Cricetulus griseus: one gene and its partner. The protein of the gene in region 1 purifies or fractionates together with the protein of each later gene. This does not show direct contact. Links are inferred from orthologs where the notes say so. Each region holds a gene or a part of one and is shown on either strand. Other genes may lie near its edges.

Region 1 (8,666 bases):
GTTACTCTATGGTCTTAACAGCTACATCGGGCACATTAATGTAGCCTTCAAGACTCTGTTTTTAGTTATGGCTACATGAACAGTAAATACCAATGTCCAGTCCTCAATATTTGACTTGCGTGTGCCCAGCCCCCGCCTCCATGGATTTTTTTTTTTTTTTTATAGTTTGATCTTCACAATAGCTGAATTTAAAGGAAAGGAAAAGCTATTCATACCAGTAGTTTATAGATAAAATTTGCTGATATGTAACATTCCCAGCATGTTAAGATTAAGAGTTTTTCTTTAAAGAAGTCTGTGTTCATGTCTTTAAGGTTTGTGTTACAGGATAAGTTTGTAAAGTTTTAACTACTTTTATTGGTGACTGTTTGCTATTTTCAACGTATAAAAGTAAGAATTGGAAGGTTCTCATCAGTGTTGACATTTTATCTAACCATCTGTAGTTTATTTCTTTGGTTCTGGGGTAGCTTAAGTTTTGACATTTAAGGAATGTTTCAAAATAAGCATTAGAAATTTTTCTGTGTTGAGTAGGAATCTTGTCTCCGTGTGTTTCAATTACCCATCTGGTGGATAGTATATTCCTTTTACTACTTCCATAGTGTCAGTCCTTATAACACTTGAGGAAAGCTAACTATTCTTGAACCCCCTAGTTCTAACTTTTTGTCATTCATGTGCTGTGTTTCAGTCATACTATAGAAAGTAGCTATCACATAAACTTCTAATAAACAAAGACCAAGATGTCCTAAAGATTGAAATTTTGTTTCAAATAGGTTAATGAGTAAAGTCTGGTAATAAAGAACCTTCAGAGGTGGAGTTTGGTTGTTGGGAGTGATGTTGATAGATATTCCTGAGTTCTGAATAGTTGAGACTTAATGCCCCCAGCTTTAAGTGTTCCCTCTTCATCTAGTGTTGATCAAGGATGTTTAGTTGATTGGGAGGAAATAATACCAGGCCTTGATTCTACTTAAAATGTATTTCTAAAAATACTTCTGATTGGTTACTTTGTTAATATAAAAAGCTTTTTGCTTAAATGCTTTTTCAGAATCTTTGCTTGCTGTTTTGTCATGGTATAAAGCTCTGTTAAGGTAGTTGTTAATTTTGTACTCATTGAACTTGCCTTGTTTTATGAAGTAAATCAATTCTAAACAAAAGGAAGATAAAAGATGCATTTACAAAGCTGACTTGGAAAATTGGTAGTGGCAAGACTGAACAAGAAACTTAGATGGTTGAGTTGTAGAAGGTAATGGATTTACTTCCTTGGTCTATATTTAAAATGGTGAGACATGGAATTTAAGATTCAAGATCTCACTGTGGTAGTTTGGGGTGGCCTGAAATTTATGACTCTTGTTTGTTCCTTAACCACTTCACTCCTGGGATTAAACAAAGCCTATGCTTTTACATGTTCTTTGGAATTCTGATGTGCTTATTTCAAAGTAGTAAATCTCAGATACTTGTTTAAGCAGAATTAGTGATAAATCCTTAAATTCAACACCAGGTGGTAGCCACAATTGAAAAAAGTTGTTCGCCTGCTTAATCACAAATTTATTGCCATTTAAAAATAACTATAAAGCAGTTTTCTTATTAAGATATAGTATAAACTTTAATGCATGAAGAAAAGTGAGACAGAACTTGGCTTTTGTGAACTATTTGTATAGGGATTTTAACAGTGCTGTTTGCTGTCTGGATTTCAGGGGTTAAGAGCTAAGCTGTGTACAGATAAAAACTGGAGCCTCTTTGGCTCCTAATACCAGTTGAAGGACAAAACCTTCTAATCAGTCTGTAGTGGAATTGTCTTCAAAATTTCTTGTAACGTGCAGAGTAGTGGTGGTGCACACCTTTAATCCCAGCACTTGGGAGGCAAAGGCAGGCCAGTCTCTGGCAATTCGAGACCAGCCTGGTCTACAAGAGCTAGTTCCAGGACAGCCTCCAAAGCCACAGAGAAACCTTATCTCAAAAAAAAAAAAAGTGCATATAAAACGTCAAAATCATAAACCCTTACATAGTGTCACTTTGGAGTATGTTTTCATACATACATTAGTTCCCATTTGAGTTAAATTTGACTTTTTTCCTAAAGTGCAGTTTGCAGCTATTTGTCCTGATAAAACTGATTCAAAACTGGCCATTCTCCCACTTAATTGCCTTAAAATTTCTCAGACTTTGAAGATGTAGTAGCAAATGAACTTGAAACAGTTTTTCATCACTTTGAAACTGTTCGTGATGATGTTACTTCTGCCAACTATTCGCAACTATTCGTGGTTTAACACAAAGTTACAGAATAACAGTAACTATTTTGCTTTTTAAGTGAAAATAAGGAAAATATAAAATACCTTTTTTTTTTTTTAAACTCTGATAGTCTGCTATCCTCAACACACCTGATGGTAGTGGAGGAAGTCCTTGAAGTCTATCTCCACATTCCTCTGCTCCTACCCCTGTATAGTGCTGGGCTTAATGAGTGTGAGCTACTACTCCTGGCTCAACATTACAAATTAGATTGTTTTATTACCTTTAAGTGGTTATGCTTAAATAGACTGTTTTTGAGCAGGTTGTATATTGATGTATTCAGGCAGTGTATTCTGTCTAGAACGTAAAACTTGCAACTTGATTGAAAATGAATTGAGTATTTGAGAAAGCATTTAGATGTTATTTTACCCATTTATTAATTGTGTAGTCCTTAAGAGAAATGGGTACATCTTGCTAGTTAGAGGTAAGAATGTATCAAAAAGCATGGTAAAGAGAAGCCACATTGCACTTACCTCTAACATGACCAGCTCCAATGGGTGGGAGCAGGATGAACTCCATAGCAAGATTGTATTTTTTAAAAAAGAAACAAACTTACATGATGTACGTGAGATGACTTTTTATATGAGTTGGCTAAGTGTCCTTTCTAAACTCTCATGAAAAGAAAAGCACCTTTGGGGAAATCCTGCTCAAAATGTGGTCTGGTTTCAGTTCCCTCTCTGTGACCTTACATCTCAGAGGAGCTACATTGATGGAGTTAACCCAATTTACTCTTAACACACACCATTTAAAATATATATATATATATATATGTATATATATATATATATATATCATTTGACAATTGAGCTAATTTGGATTTTTTTTTGTTTTTTGTTTTCTCTTTTGGCCAGGGGTGGGTGGCTAATTAAGCAAACAAATACTTTGTATATTTGGGGTGTTTTTGAAAAAGAGAAAACAGAATTAACTCTCTCCCCCCACCCCAATTTGACTGTAAATTTAGCAAAGGATTTACTCAAATTTTTTAAATTTTTGTTCATATTAGAACTTTATAGTAAATGGGATCACATTGGTTGTTGTCATTGGGAAGTTTTTGGGAGGCTGATTGCCAGTAATGTGTATTACTGAAGTTAAGTGCGTAAGTCGAAGAGGAAGTCAGACCTAAGAATATGTAAGTACTTTTTTAAATTGTGTTAGTTTTAGGAGCTTTGTCTAGTTGCATATAATTAGCAATAACTTGGACAGCATAAGATTAATGCTTTAACTTGTTAGCAGGAGTTTAAAAAGCTGGTTTCTGTTGCCAATAGTTGGTTGGAAGGGAAAATGGAGATGCCACAAATAAAAGGTTTTGGATGTGCAAAACAGTTTTGATTTTATTTCTTACAAACTATAGGACTCCAAGCCCTCTGATCCTTGATCAGAACTACATTAACACCAAAAATCAAGTTATCAAGGCAGAAAGAAGGGTGCTAAAGGAGTTGGGATTTTGTGTTCATGTCAAGCATCCCCATAAGGTGAGTAATAGAATGCAGAAATTACATTTCGTAAGTATTAGGGCTTTTCCTAAAATTTTTACTTGTTTGTGTGGAGAGTTTTCAAAAGCTTTGTTTTGGATGTTGATGTTTGTCAGTAAAATAGGACTCAAAACAGGCTTTATTATTTGTCATTGTGTGATTGTGAATATTTGTGGTTAAATTCTTGTTTTTCTACCTAACAAGATCATGTGGTGACTTCCTCATGTAAGGAATGAATTGTGTAGAAACTGGCACGTTAAAGTGTTGAAAATGGTTGCTGCTCACTGTAAACCATTAATAAAAAGCTTTCTCTTTTGGCTTTCATATTACCCTTCTGAACAGTAGTTGGAAAAATTCAACTATTGGAGATAGCTAGCCCTGCTTTTAACTGGGTGACACTGGCTGGTATCTTTAAGTTATATTTTTCTAATATCATAAAGTGATGATAATCTGAGTCCAGAAACACTTTTGACATGAACTAAAGTAGTTATGCTTTTGGTGTGTCTTCCTGGGAACCAAATGCAAGGCAACATTGTATCATTGAGTTATATGTAGCTTTTATTTAAGAAACTTTAGTATGCTAAGCTTTACTGCAGAAATTAATTACTGCAGTGCTGGGTGTTCTAGAAATGTGCTGTGGCCATTGTGTATACTCAGAGTAGAAATTCTGCCCTTTTTTGATGAATGTTAGAAAACAGAGTTATTAACCACATCTATAAGTACATTTTTATAGAATTGAGCAGTTAACACTGAGTGTTATATGTTGGCCTATATTTGAAATTTTATAGTAATTAAAACTGTAACACTTTAGATGCTTTATTCATTGAACTCTGCTGTGAAAGAACCACCAATACACTAAATGGTTTTTTTCTTCCTTGTCCTCAGATCATTGTAATGTATTTACAAGTCTTAGAATGTGAACGTAACCAAACCCTGGTTCAAACTGCCTGGTAAGTTGCTTTTTTACATTTCTTCTTTAGTCAGGAAAACAGAAGCAGAAATAAAGTAAGTTTCATTTTTTTCTTTCCAAAATAATGAAATAAGTTTGTTTTGGGGCATTTTGTTTTTGTTATTTTTTAACCAAAAGGTAAATAATGCTTATTTCTGCTTCCTGTTTTCTTGGCTTGACTAATTATTTTTAATGGAGAACTCAATTTAACTTTGTTCTTTTTTCTACTCTTTAATTAAAGGGTAGTCCATGATGGTAAGTCATAGAACTCTGCCCTCTGAACTTCAGCCCATGACCTCAGGATGGCCTGATTGGCTAGCCTGCTCTCCAGCCAATCCAGTGCAAGCTCTCATCCGAGATTCACTGAAGTGGTCCATATCCATCTGGCAGCATCTTCTAGTTCTGTCGGGGTGTCAAAAGGATTTGTATATTTGCTTCTAGAAGTAACTATGCATCATGCCTATGTATTTAATGTATACCTGTAACTATCAAAATGAATATTTCATTTTTGATAGATTGTTGTCCAGCCATTATGAACTGTTTTTTTTTTTTTTTTTTTTAAATTGGGTTCAATTAAATTTCTACTTGAAGTGTATAGCATCCATTCTACCAAAGGAGGCTACCTTAAGTTTGTAGCTTTAAATGGATACCTGTTGCCATTTTAGGTTACTCCAGCTATAGAACCATTGCAGGCAGTGATAAGAAGCATTTTAATTTTAAAGAAGTTGATGTTATTTAAATGTTTTTGAAGTTGGGCCTTTGAGATACAGAGAGGTTAAGCAAGGAAATTGTGGTTTAGTCATAAGTGATTCATAAGACTGTTGATAAACAAGCATTAAATAATTCTGGACTTCTCCAGAATGTGTTTTTTTTTTTTTTTTTTTTTTTTTATGACTGCCATGCCTTTCTTGGACTTGGTAGATAACTGGTAACATTAGAAAAGCCACATTGCTTTATAAAATGCATGACTTTTTAATGTGTTCTGTGCAGCAAAAAAAAAAAAAAAATTAAAGTTTTTAACGAGTGTAAGGATTTTAGAAATAATCCATTTAATTTCCAGCTCAGGCTTTTCAGCAAATTACAAAGTTTTTTATTTAGTTAAAAAAATTCATAGGAAAGTTTCACTAGAAGTTTATTTAGTTAGATCATTGCTTTTGTTTATGCTTAATTGCAAAAAGTTATGTTGACAAGGCCATTATGATGTGTATTTATTGTTTACTTTTCTACCTTGATTTTTTTTTTTTTGAAGTTTTTTTTACCCCCTTCTAACTGTAAGAGTAACTTGGTGAGTTCTTACTAAAAATACCTTTTTACCCCTGTTCCTGGTATTGAATTTTTTTTTTTTTTGAAAGAACTTGGTTGACACTGCTTTTTATTATGGATAAAGGAGAGATGGTCAGTAACTAATGGCTTGAAGTATTGTTGGAGTGGTAAACTCTTAAACTCATTATATCAGAATTGACTTCAAAATCATTGCCTTTTATAACAATATGTTGAAAGGATTTTAGGGGTAGATCTATATGCTAATATGGAATTGTTTACAAGTGCTATGGGGGGAGGGTTAGAAATTGTTATCATGGTACAATTTAAAGATGTGAACATAAGGAGAAGAAAAAAGAATGAAGTAGATTGAGTCTCCAGTTTTATGTGCACTTCAGAAGAATTGATTTGCTTATGGACTAAGCTTATAGCTGAAATGTTTTTCAGGAATTACATGAATGACAGTCTTCGAACCAATGTCTTCGTTCGCTTTCAACCAGAGACTATAGCATGTGCTTGTATCTACCTTGCAGCTAGAGCACTTCAGGTAAGTGCTGGGTTTTACAAAGTGAATTCCAAGAGTTTTGTTACTTCTTAGAAGAGCGTAAACTTGAACCATTCTTTTTTTAATCATTTAGATTCCATTGCCTACTCGGCCACATTGGTTTCTTCTTTTTGGTACCACAGAAGAGGAGATTCAGGAAATTTGCATAGAGACCCTTAGACTTTATACCAGGAAAAAGGTAATTTCGGTTACTCAGTTTGGTGCTGATGTCATTTCCAAGAATCTAAAGGGAATACTAACTTGATTTTCATCCAACAGCCTAACTATGAATTGCTGGAAAAAGAAGTAGAAAAAAGAAAAGTAGCCTTACAGGAAGCCAAGTTAAAAGCAAAGGGATTGAATCCCGATGGAACTCCAGCTCTTTCAACCCTTGGTGGATTTTCTCCAGCTTCTAAACCATGTAAGTTACAATCATAATTGAATAAACTATAACCATAGGAAGAAGTGTATGTTGCTAGATCACTTGGCGTTGGTCAGTTGCTTAGAGATCAATTAAGAAATTGTTAATGGGTGTTTTGGGACAAGTCAGCCTAAGGGTCAGAAGTGGAAGGAGTACTTTTAGGTTGTATTGGAAACTTGTTCTCTGCTAAATCTTGCCCTTTTGTCCTTGTCTATTAAAAGCCTCACCAAGAGAAGTAAAAGCTGAAGAAAAATCGCCAATCTCCATTAATGTGAAGACAGTCAAAAAAGAACCCGAGGATAGACAACAGGCTTCGAAAAGCCCTTATAATGGGTAAGTGTGCTTCAAGGGCTTGGGTATTTATTGCTAAATCTTTGTGCATATCCTAAAACAATGTAAAAAACACTGCCTGCATTTTCTTTAAGTGTAAGAAAAGACAGCAAGAGAAGCAGGAACAGCAGAAGTGCTAGTAGATCAAGGTCAAGAACCAGATCGCGCTCTAGATCACACACCCCAAGAAGACAGTGAGTAATGGGTCCTGTGTGGTGGAGCGGGCTTAAGACCTTTGAAAAGTGAACGAGAGCTTTAGGCTAGGAGGAAGTATTTGGGTTTTTTGTTGGTATAGCAGGTGTGTGTGTGTGTGTGTGTGTGTGTGTGTGTGTGTGTGTGAGAGGGAGAGAGGAGAGAGAGAGAGAGAGAGAGAGAGAGAGAGAGAGAGAGAGAGAGAGAGCCTGTTTGCTAGGATTACAAGCATGTTGTCGGGATTAGGCTTAATGTAAAGAGAAATAAATTTAGAGACACACTTTTGGATGTGTGTGGAACTTAGTTGTGTGTTTTTAAGTGTGACTAAGTGTTATATACAGAAGTTACAGGAAATTTTGTAAAAGTCAGTTCTCTACTGATACTATATGGGTCCTAAATCAAACCCTGGTCTTTGGGCTTGATGGCAGGCCCCTTTTATCTGATGAGCCATTTCACTGATGCATTTTAGGCATTATTTTGTTTGTTCTACCCCTCATTTTTTTTGAAAAGTATTAAGAAAATGCTATGGGGTATATGTATGTAAAGCTATTTATGTGAAAACATTCTTTATATTTTTAATACATTAATGTATTGAAAAGTCCAAGACTTCCAGTCAGCTTTGCAACTGGGTTGCAGTTTTCTTCTGGTGGTTCAGTGGTACTTTGATCATGTGGGAGATACTCAGTAAAAAAAGCATCTACCTAGTTCTAGGACACATCAGTGACCCCCTTCACTGGACTACAGTCATAGGATGTTTTGTCTAAAGTAAAACTTCAGTTGAAAGGGGTCAGGGTGGGGAGACTGAGGAGCATTGTCAGTTCAGCTTTTCATTGCTCATAGCTGATTGTTTTGAGCTTGCTAATGAACAATAGTTATTAATCTGTTCTCACTAGAAACCAAACCTAAACTTGAAACTTTTATTGTCTAAGTTACAATAATAGGCGAAGTCGATCTGGAACATACAGCTCAAGATCAAGAAGCAGGTCCCGCAGTCACAGTGAAAGCCCTCGAAGACATCATAATCATGGTTCTCCTCACCTTAAGGCCAAACATACCAGAGAAGATTTAAAAAGCTCAAATAGACATGGTCATAAAAGGAAAAAATCTCGGTCTCGATCTCAGAGCAAGTCTCGGGATCACTCAGATGTTGCCAAGAAACACAGGCATGAAAGGGGACATCACAGAGACAGGCGTGAAAGATCTCGCTCCTTTGAGAGATCC
Region 2 (8,666 bases), on another chromosome or scaffold:
CAGCACACCAGGTGCCCGTTCTTGAACACAGGCAGTACCTGAGATGACAGTGCAACACTACCCTGTTCCCCACTATAGGTTTGTGGGTTGTGTTTTATTTTTTTGCTTTTCATTAGGAAATAATTAAGTCCTTGTCATAGGCACTTTTAACTTGTAATAAGGTAATGAAGCAAACAAATGGAAATTACTGAGATGAGTATAAGAAGTATGTATATTCATTGTAAAGGATACCGAGTGGGTCAATTTACCAGGTTAGTCTGTATATAAGACTAGACTCCTCTCTCTCTCTCTCCCTCTCTCTCTCTCTCTCAACTCCTCCCTCTCTCTCTCTCTCTCTCTCTCTCACACACACACACACACACACACACACACACACACACACACACACACACACACACACACACGTGCGCGCACACCCTTTAAAACTCTCCAAACCCAGATAAAATATCCAGGGGCTGTACCCAAGATAGATTTGGAGACAGGTAAAATGTCTACTAGATTCACTGTAACTTGGTAAAGACCAGCCCAGGCAGAGTCCACATCCAGAGGGAGCAAGCATGAAGTCCAAAGAATGCTCCAGAGCTAAGGCAGAAGAGAGGTAAAATACAGGCACTGCTTATTACAAAGGACATGCCCTGCTGAGTTTTCACTCAAGGACCTCTCTCCTAGAGCATGCCAAAGGGGAGAGTCAGGGGAACATGGCCAACTTTTCTCCCAGAAGTTTTTACTATCTCTGGAGGACCCAGGGCAGAGAGGTGGGGTCACTGCTCAATTGAGACCCCCCACCTCAACAGGCTCTTGAACAACTTAAAAGACAGAGAAGAAACATGGGTGATCAAGGAGATGAGGTTAGAAAACAGGAAAGACATATGGTGATGACACATCCCATGACAACCAAGGGCACATGAGAAGGCCCATGGTAACTCCCAACACTTGAGGTTTGCTACTTGACATGCTAACACAGGGTCAGTAGCATCCATGTCATGTTTCCGATTCTCAGGAAGAACAAAAGTAAACATCAATCTACAGAAGGTGAGATGAAAGGAGGCAGGGTCTGCATGAAAACCTTAACTAGATGTCAAAGTTCTGGCTTTATAAAGGGTCTTAAAGAAGATTTTTAAAACTTTATTTATTGTGTGTGTGTTTACATGCCACAGTGCACGTGTGGAAAGAGGACAACTCATGGGAGTAGGCTCTCTCCTCACCATGTAGATTTTGGGAACTGAATTCTTTGCAGCAAATGCCTTTACCTGCCATGTCACTGGCCCAAGATCTTACTTTTTAACTTATGAACTGAACTCCATACTATCAAGAAGAGTTACATTTGTCTTTTACGTTCACACAGACCAAACGACAAAATAGAATCTGCATTTAGAGATGGACCTGCTACCAATACCAATACAAGTTTATTGGAATTTGGAATGTAAACAGATGTTTCAAACAAACAATCTAACCTTATAAAAATGTATGGCATTATTAAATAGTTAATGAAGAAACCCTAAGTGTGATGTGGTAGATACCCCAAGCATGTTAGGTCCCCAAAGCTGATGCATGGCTCTGCAGCCAAGGAGAAGGGACTAGCTGGCAAACCATGTCAGTGACCAGTCCCCCAAATGAAATCAGCTCTATAAAAAACAAAAACAAAAAACCCCAAACAAAATCTAGCTCTCTGCTAACATGAAGGTTAGCACATAGCTGTGACACTTGCTCCAGGAGCCCCCTTCCTCTCCCAGGCCCTGGCCATCTCTCTCCAGCCAGCTGCAGGAGTCACAGGACAGCCTTGCCCACAAGCTATCGTCTGCATGTCAGATACTTCTTTGCCATTACACTCATGTATGACCTATTAGAGCTGTAAATGCCCATCACCCTGATTGTAGCCAGACCTGTTTGTCACGGGGTGAAAAAGAGGGAAGATGGTAGGTGTGCCTTTTGCATATGTGAGATCTTTCCTGAATACATTCTAATAGAACACTTCCCTCCCTCTTTGACCTGCCGGAAGACTAACGTTCCAGCTGCAGCTATGGCTGTGAACAAAAATAAGTCTTTGTTTTAGGGTGGTACATTGAAGTAGGTGCCCACACAAAGATGTGCTGAGAAATGGTGAAGTTTTCCTTATGGGGGGTGGCGCTAAAAAAAAAAAAAAAAAGAGAGAAAAAAGAAAAAGGAAAAAAGAAAAGAAAAAGCAACAAGATTCAATAGTTAGGCAAATCAATAAAGGTGAGCCCCAAGTTATGCACACAGCATGAAACTTCTAATGAACCTGGGACCTGTTCATGGCATCTCAAGATTTACAGTGCCATCTTCCGACACTAAAGAGGATGTGGTGAGAGTGACTGCAGTTTGCTTCCAAATGAATATACTTAGAAGAAAACTGCAAGAATGAGGTACATTTCCTGGAGAGCTCATGTCATAAAAAAATACATAACACATGAATTTGTAAAAGAGCTTAAAAAAAATACTGTCACTGTTTTAATCTTTTTTTTCTTTTCTTTTTTCTTTTCTTTTTCTTTTTTTTTTTTTTTTTTTTGTAAATGAGGCTGGTGTGTCAGAATAGACTGCTGACTTGCTAAAACTTGAGCCTGAATTCTCACAGAAGAAAACCAGACACCACAATGGAATAGATAGGAAGTCAGATATTCAGAGCTTGTTGACCGAACGGGTTAATTCAACAGTGGTATCCTGTTAAACGCAGGTACGTGTACAACAACTCCGAGCTTCTCATCTCCCATGCATTCCAAAGGGAGAGTCCCCTCAGATCCTGAACTATGTGCACTGCCACACTGTACAGCGCAGCTCCCTGCAGACTAGTACTGGGGAGTTTCTTGCTTTTGACAGGCTTTAGGTCTTTACTCTTCTTTGCCTTTAGAAGGAATGATTAGAATTTCTTTTTATCACACTGCAGTTTCCTTCAAGTTTTTGTTTGGTTGGTTGGTTTTATTGGCAAGCATCAGTGCCGCATTACCGTCGATTCCCCAGGCTTCATCGTGCTGCGCTGAGGCCACTGGAAAGCACGGTGTTCTCTGCACAAGGCTGGGACTGCTCCTTCACCACAGGGTCTGCAAGAGAGGAGGAGCACAGGTCTCCATGTCAGCACCAGCACTGAGGGTGTAGTGGGAATGCCATGGCTAACCTGCCTTTCCTCTTCTATATGCACCAAGACAGACACTTACATGGAACTCAGGCCACACAAGAACCAGGCACCAAGACATGACCAGGAAAGAACTCCTTTTCTTTTTGCCCTCAAGGCAGGGAATAGAACCCAGTCTCACACATGCTAGGCAATCAACTAAGTCACATCCTCAACTCCTTCTGAAAATTTTTTTTGTTGCTCAGACTAGCACTGAACTCTCATTCTTCTTTAGCCTTAGCCTCCAGCATAGGCCAGGGTGGCCCTCATGCCCACTGAGGAATTATATAGAGTTGATTTTTTTCTACTTCCTTAGAATACAGACCCTACTGCTAAAAAGCAGAGACCCCAACTCACCACTGTTCAAAATTCACAATATTTCTGGTGATTTCTGAGTACCAACATCATACCTAGCATGTCATAAACAAGGGTGAATAAAAAAGCCATTGACAACTGGGAGGTGGTGGCGCAGGCCTTTAGTTCCAGCACTTGGGAGGCAGAGGCAGGCGGATCTACAAGAACTAGTTTCAGGACAGCCTCCGAAGCCATAGAGAAACCCTGTCTGGGACACGCCCCCCCCCCAAGAAAAAAGAAAACAAACAAACAAAACCCCAGCCATTTTAAGCAGCAGTGAAATATGGAGTTTATTTAGGGAAGTAAACAAACAATGATTATCTAAAATATCTATCAGGTTGTTTTTATTATTATTCCTGAGGCAGGGCCTAACTATATACCTTAGATGGTCTTAAATTTGCAATCCTTACACATTTGCCTCATGAGTTTACACCAGTACTGCTTTTTATTTTGGTTTTGTTTGTTTGCTAGCTTGCTTGCTTGTTTTTTGAGACAGGGTTTCTCTGTGTAGCCTAGGCTATCATGGAACTCACTCTGTAGTTCAGGCTGGACAATTTGAACTCAGGGATCCACTTGCCTCTGCCTTCCCAATCCTGGAATTAAAGGTATGCATCACCACCGCCTGGCTATTTTGTTTGTTTGTTTGTTGTTGTTGTTGTTTTTAAGATACAGTCTTACTATGTATCCCAAGCTGGCCTTAGACTCACAAAGATCTGACTAACTTTGCCTCTGAGTACTTGGTTTAAAGGAGTGGACCACCACTCAGGGCAACACCAATATCCTAAAGTGGCCTATCTTGAAGGATAAAAGCAGCTTTCTGTGTTGGAAATTAGAAAGCAAACAATGGAATGTCAGCTGTTTAGGGTCCAGAAGGCTAAATGAGAAGACCCTTTACATTTTTTTGTTGCCTTAAACTTCTGCCTAAAGTTTAAGATCATGGCAATAAGTCCTTCCTATCTGTTAATATTACTGGGAATTAGTAAACTCCAAAGGAAAAAGTGGTCAAACAACAGACAAAAACTTTAAGGAACAGAAATGAAGATAAGTCACATTCAACTTCTTCCATGACTAGACTAAGCCACCCTCTTCTGTCAATGACAAGGGTGATGTGTCTAGGAGACTTTCAGTGGGAAGAACACTACATGGACCCAAAACACAAGCAAGTGCAGAAGGAACACATATGCTCCGAGAGATGTCACAGGTCAGAATCCAGCTGCCATACCTGCTACCTGCTTACCTGCAATTCCTCTTGCTTACATGTTGCTTCCTTTAGAATCACATTAAAAAAGCAATGATCTTACTACTTTGTTTTGTTTTTCAAGACAGGGTTTCTCTGTGTAGCCCTGGCTGTCCCGGAACTCACTCTGTAGACCAGTCTGGCCTCAAAATCACAGAGATCTGCCTGCCTCTGCCTCCTGAGTGCTGGGATTAAAGGTGTGTGCTGCCACCACCACCCGACCTGATCTTACTACTTTTAACTAAATATTATTATTATTATTATTATTATTATTATTATTATTAATTGGTTCAAATTAGAAACAAGCTTGTTTCATATGTCAATCCCTTCTCCCTTTCCCTCACCCCCATCCCTCCTCCTCCACCCCCCCTAAATTTTTTTTAAAAGAGAAAAAATAATCTTTGATTAGGTTTTTGCACTTGAAAAAAAAATCTTAGATACCTTTCAGTATACAAGCCCAGGGTGATGACAGTGGGTTATACAGCCTGGCCTCAGAGGTACTACTAACATTGAACAGCAAACACCTTCGAGAACTAATCAAATCACCCATAAAATGGCCTCAGTGGTCCAGTAAAATGAATAAAATTTAAAGCCAAATTCCTAGGCTGATCTAAATCCAAATACCTAGTTTTCTGTCTGACCCCAAAGATAAAGGTGACATCTTTTGCCATTTAATAACTCACAGAAGTACGGGTGCTCCATGGCCTCTTTGGCAGTCAGTCTCTGTTGATGGTCGTACCGCAGGAGCTTGTCAAGAAGATCTAGGGCCTCAGGACTGACAAGGTGTCTGTTTTCACTATGGATAAAGTTTTCCCAGCGCTTCCGTGAATGTCTAAAAAACAAAAACAAACAAAGTGAATATTAGTATTCTGAGACTAAACAACCAGATAAACCCTCCTTTAATAGACATAACATAAACAAACCCTTAGAATACTGCACTTCGTGCAACAGCTGAAGCTCATTCTTATCGGTGCCCACTTCAAATGGGCTAGTATACACACACTGTCACCCACAGTTATAACCATGACATAAAACTGCTCAATTATTAGATGAGCAGAATCTATTGAAAATATCTATATCTGAGGGAGAATTGTTCAATCTTTCTGGATTACTCTTATGCCTGTCTTTTAATCAACCGTGAGTAAGGCCTGGCGGTGACTAAGTGATGCACTGGTCAGTAGATATATTTAGAAGGTTGGCTTTAGAAACAAGCAATTTCATAAAATAATGCCTGAAGACCACTAGCCAAACATTTACTTTTAACACACTGCACTGAGGCTGGACATGGTGGCACACACCTATAATTGAGCACTCAGGTTGAGGCCAGGAGGCTACACAGCAAACAAATAAGACCATCCCCACCCCAAAATACCTAAGTCACGAAACTAGGTACTGTACCTGAAAATTTAGCATGCCTTAATATTTATTATAAAACTTCAGAAAATAAGCTATTCACTTATTTGAAGAAGCCTCGTTTTCTAAGATTTGCCATCAAAATAAGCATATGCAGGGCTAGGGAGATGGCTCAGTAGTTAAGAGCACTGGCTGCTTTCCCAGTGAACCCAGGTTCAGTTCCCAGCACCCACATGGTAGCTATTAACTATCTGTAACTCTACTTCCAGAGGACCCCTTTTCTGGCTAAGCATACACACACAGTACATTATGTGCACACAGGTAAAACAGGCTTACATATAAAACAAGAAGAAATAATTTCTTTTGAAAAAGCACAAGCTTTGACCAAATAAACATTTTTTCTATAACATTATGACTTTATTTTCCATTTGCTTCCACAGGATCAAACTCTTGATTCTCCTGCTGCAGCCTCCCAAGTGTTGTGATTAGAAACATGCATATCTACACAAGGCTTATTTTCCATTTTCTACTGATAAATAGGAGTCGTACCATTTGGGAGGCCAAGGCAGGTAGATCCCGGTGAGTTCAAAACTAGCCCTGATCTACATAGCCACTGAGACCCTGGTTCATTCAATAAATAAGTAAATAAATATCAATATTGAAGTTAGAAAAGGGAAACTGGATGTTGTCTAACTTTACCACTTCTGAAGTAGAGCAAAGTGCTTCCTTCTTTCCTTTCTCCTTCTCTCCCTCCCTCCCTCTCCTTTCTTACTTACTGTCCCAAGATATCATTGAAGTGTGGATCTAGGTCTATGTGGTACTTCTTCAGATATCCATACAGCTCATCTGTCCCCAGAACCTTGGCAATTCGAACAAGCTGAAACACAGAACAAAACTGACCCAACCACCAAGCACAGTGCTTTCTGTGAGCTTTTGTGGACACTGTGCTAGGCCTGGGAATCAGGAAATCCCATGCCACTCAAATCCCAAATGACTTAACAGAGACCCGAGTCTAGGATAAACAGAGACTTAAGAACACAACACTCACATGAATGCAAGTTTCTAAACTGCTTTAAAAAAAAAAAAAAAAATTATTATGTATATAGTGTTCAGCCTGCATATATCCCTGCAGGCCAGAAGAGGGCACCAGATCTCATAACCGATGGTTGTGAGCCACCATGTGGTTGCTGGAAATTGAACTCAGGACCTCTGGAAGATCAGTCAGTGCTCTTAACCTCTGAGCCATCTCTCCAGCCCCCTAAACTGCTTTTAAAGGGTTGATATAACTTAGATGCTAACATCTTTGGGGACACTGATCAAATAACTATAATGTGATTTTGTTAGATAAAGAAGTGCCTTACTTCTTAGACCCATCTTGAAAGTTCACTAGGCAGCATTGTCTGTCTCGGCATGCTTGGGGCCCTCATGCTCACTCATACAATTCTGAACAATCCTTTAGCTTACACAGTCCCCAGAGGCTATTTCCCTAACATTCATGACAAACAAGCAAGGGATGAATCTGCTCACCTGGTCATAGTTGTCCTGCCCATGGAAGAATGGCTCCTTTCGGAATATCATGCTCGCTAACATGCAGCCCAAGCTCCACATGTCTAAGCTGTAATCATACATCTGAATGCAGGAAGGATGATCCATCAGTCAAGGATAGTTAGACACTCATTGATTAAGTTTCTCATATCCATCTGACCTCTAGCTCTGACTTTTGACATCTGACCTCTAGCTCTGACTTTTGAGAGAGCCTTATACACATTAGGCAAACATCTACTACTAAGTTCCATCCTCAGCCTCTCTGCAATTACTCTGTAACTAAGTCACCGCACCCCGCCACCCCAAAAAGCCACCAAAAGACTCAGCTGGTAAAGGCTGTCAAGCCTACTAAACTAAGTTTAGTAACAAGAACCAATATGGTGGAGAGAACAAACACCTGCAAGTTGTCTTCCGACCTTCCCACATGGGCTGTGGCACATATACATACATGCATAAAAATAATTAATTTTTTAATGTTGCTGAGTAAAACCTTTAGAGTAGAATAACTGGGTTTTGAATGCATCCAAAGTGACCACACAGCAACCAGGAAAATTCCTAAGGAAATATAAAAATAGCTCTGCGCAGCTTCACTAATAAGTTCACCTGATAGTCCACAAGGAGCTCTGGTCCCTTGAAGTACCTCGAGGCCACTCGAACATTGTACTCCTGGGCAGGATGATAGAACTCCGCCAGACCCCAATCAATCAGTCGGAGCTATGAGAAAGACAAAGACCCAACAGAATGGGTAAGGTGCACTTTGAGATGCCATTGCCTATGACGAGGCCACACTGCATCTCTACAACAGGTATTCGGCCACACACAGTGTACCCAGGAAAAAGTTTACTTCAGAAACTGCAGATGAGGTCATTTATGGAGCACAGTACTTGGAATATATCTGAGTTTTTTCCCTTTTAAGTTATACTGTTTTTTTTTTTTTTTTTTTAATTTTTTTCTGGTCTCCATGCTACTTACATGTGGAACACATGCCCCCACCATTCATAGCTCTTAACATAAGCTCCAGGCACTAATGAAGGGCTTACGTGTGTGACC

What was found.
Region 2: the proteins of Ccnl1 (region 1) and Csnk2a2 purify together in Homo sapiens (affinity purification with mass spectrometry; 4 studies listed by BioGRID and IntAct, with this or other methods). This does not show direct contact. The link is inferred for Cricetulus griseus from reciprocal best matches to the Homo sapiens genes CCNL1 and CSNK2A2.

What each region holds. Positions count from the first base shown.
Region 1 is NW_023276806.1:86,988,565-86,997,230, forward strand, and holds part of Ccnl1 (cyclin-L1), read left to right. Parts: intron 1-3,628; coding exon 3,629-3,749; intron 3,750-4,634; coding exon 4,635-4,699; intron 4,700-4,939; exon of another isoform or gene 4,940-4,953; intron 4,954-6,405; coding exon 6,406-6,505; intron 6,506-6,596; coding exon 6,597-6,701; intron 6,702-6,781; coding exon 6,782-6,923; intron 6,924-7,144; coding exon 7,145-7,256; intron 7,257-7,348; coding exon 7,349-7,447; intron 7,448-8,374; coding exon 8,375-8,666. UniProt on the Homo sapiens protein: Involved in pre-mRNA splicing. Functions in association with cyclin-dependent kinases (CDKs). Inhibited by the CDK-specific inhibitor CDKN1A/p21. May play a role in the regulation of RNA polymerase II (pol II).
Region 2 is NC_048596.1:171,636,830-171,645,495, forward strand, and holds part of Csnk2a2 (casein kinase II subunit alpha'), read right to left. Parts: intron 8,331-8,666; coding exon 8,220-8,330; intron 7,701-8,219; coding exon 7,599-7,700; intron 6,949-7,598; coding exon 6,848-6,948; intron 5,551-6,847; coding exon 5,402-5,550; intron 3,057-5,401; coding exon 2,980-3,056; 3' UTR 2,963-2,979; exon of another isoform or gene 1,110-2,962; intron 1-1,109.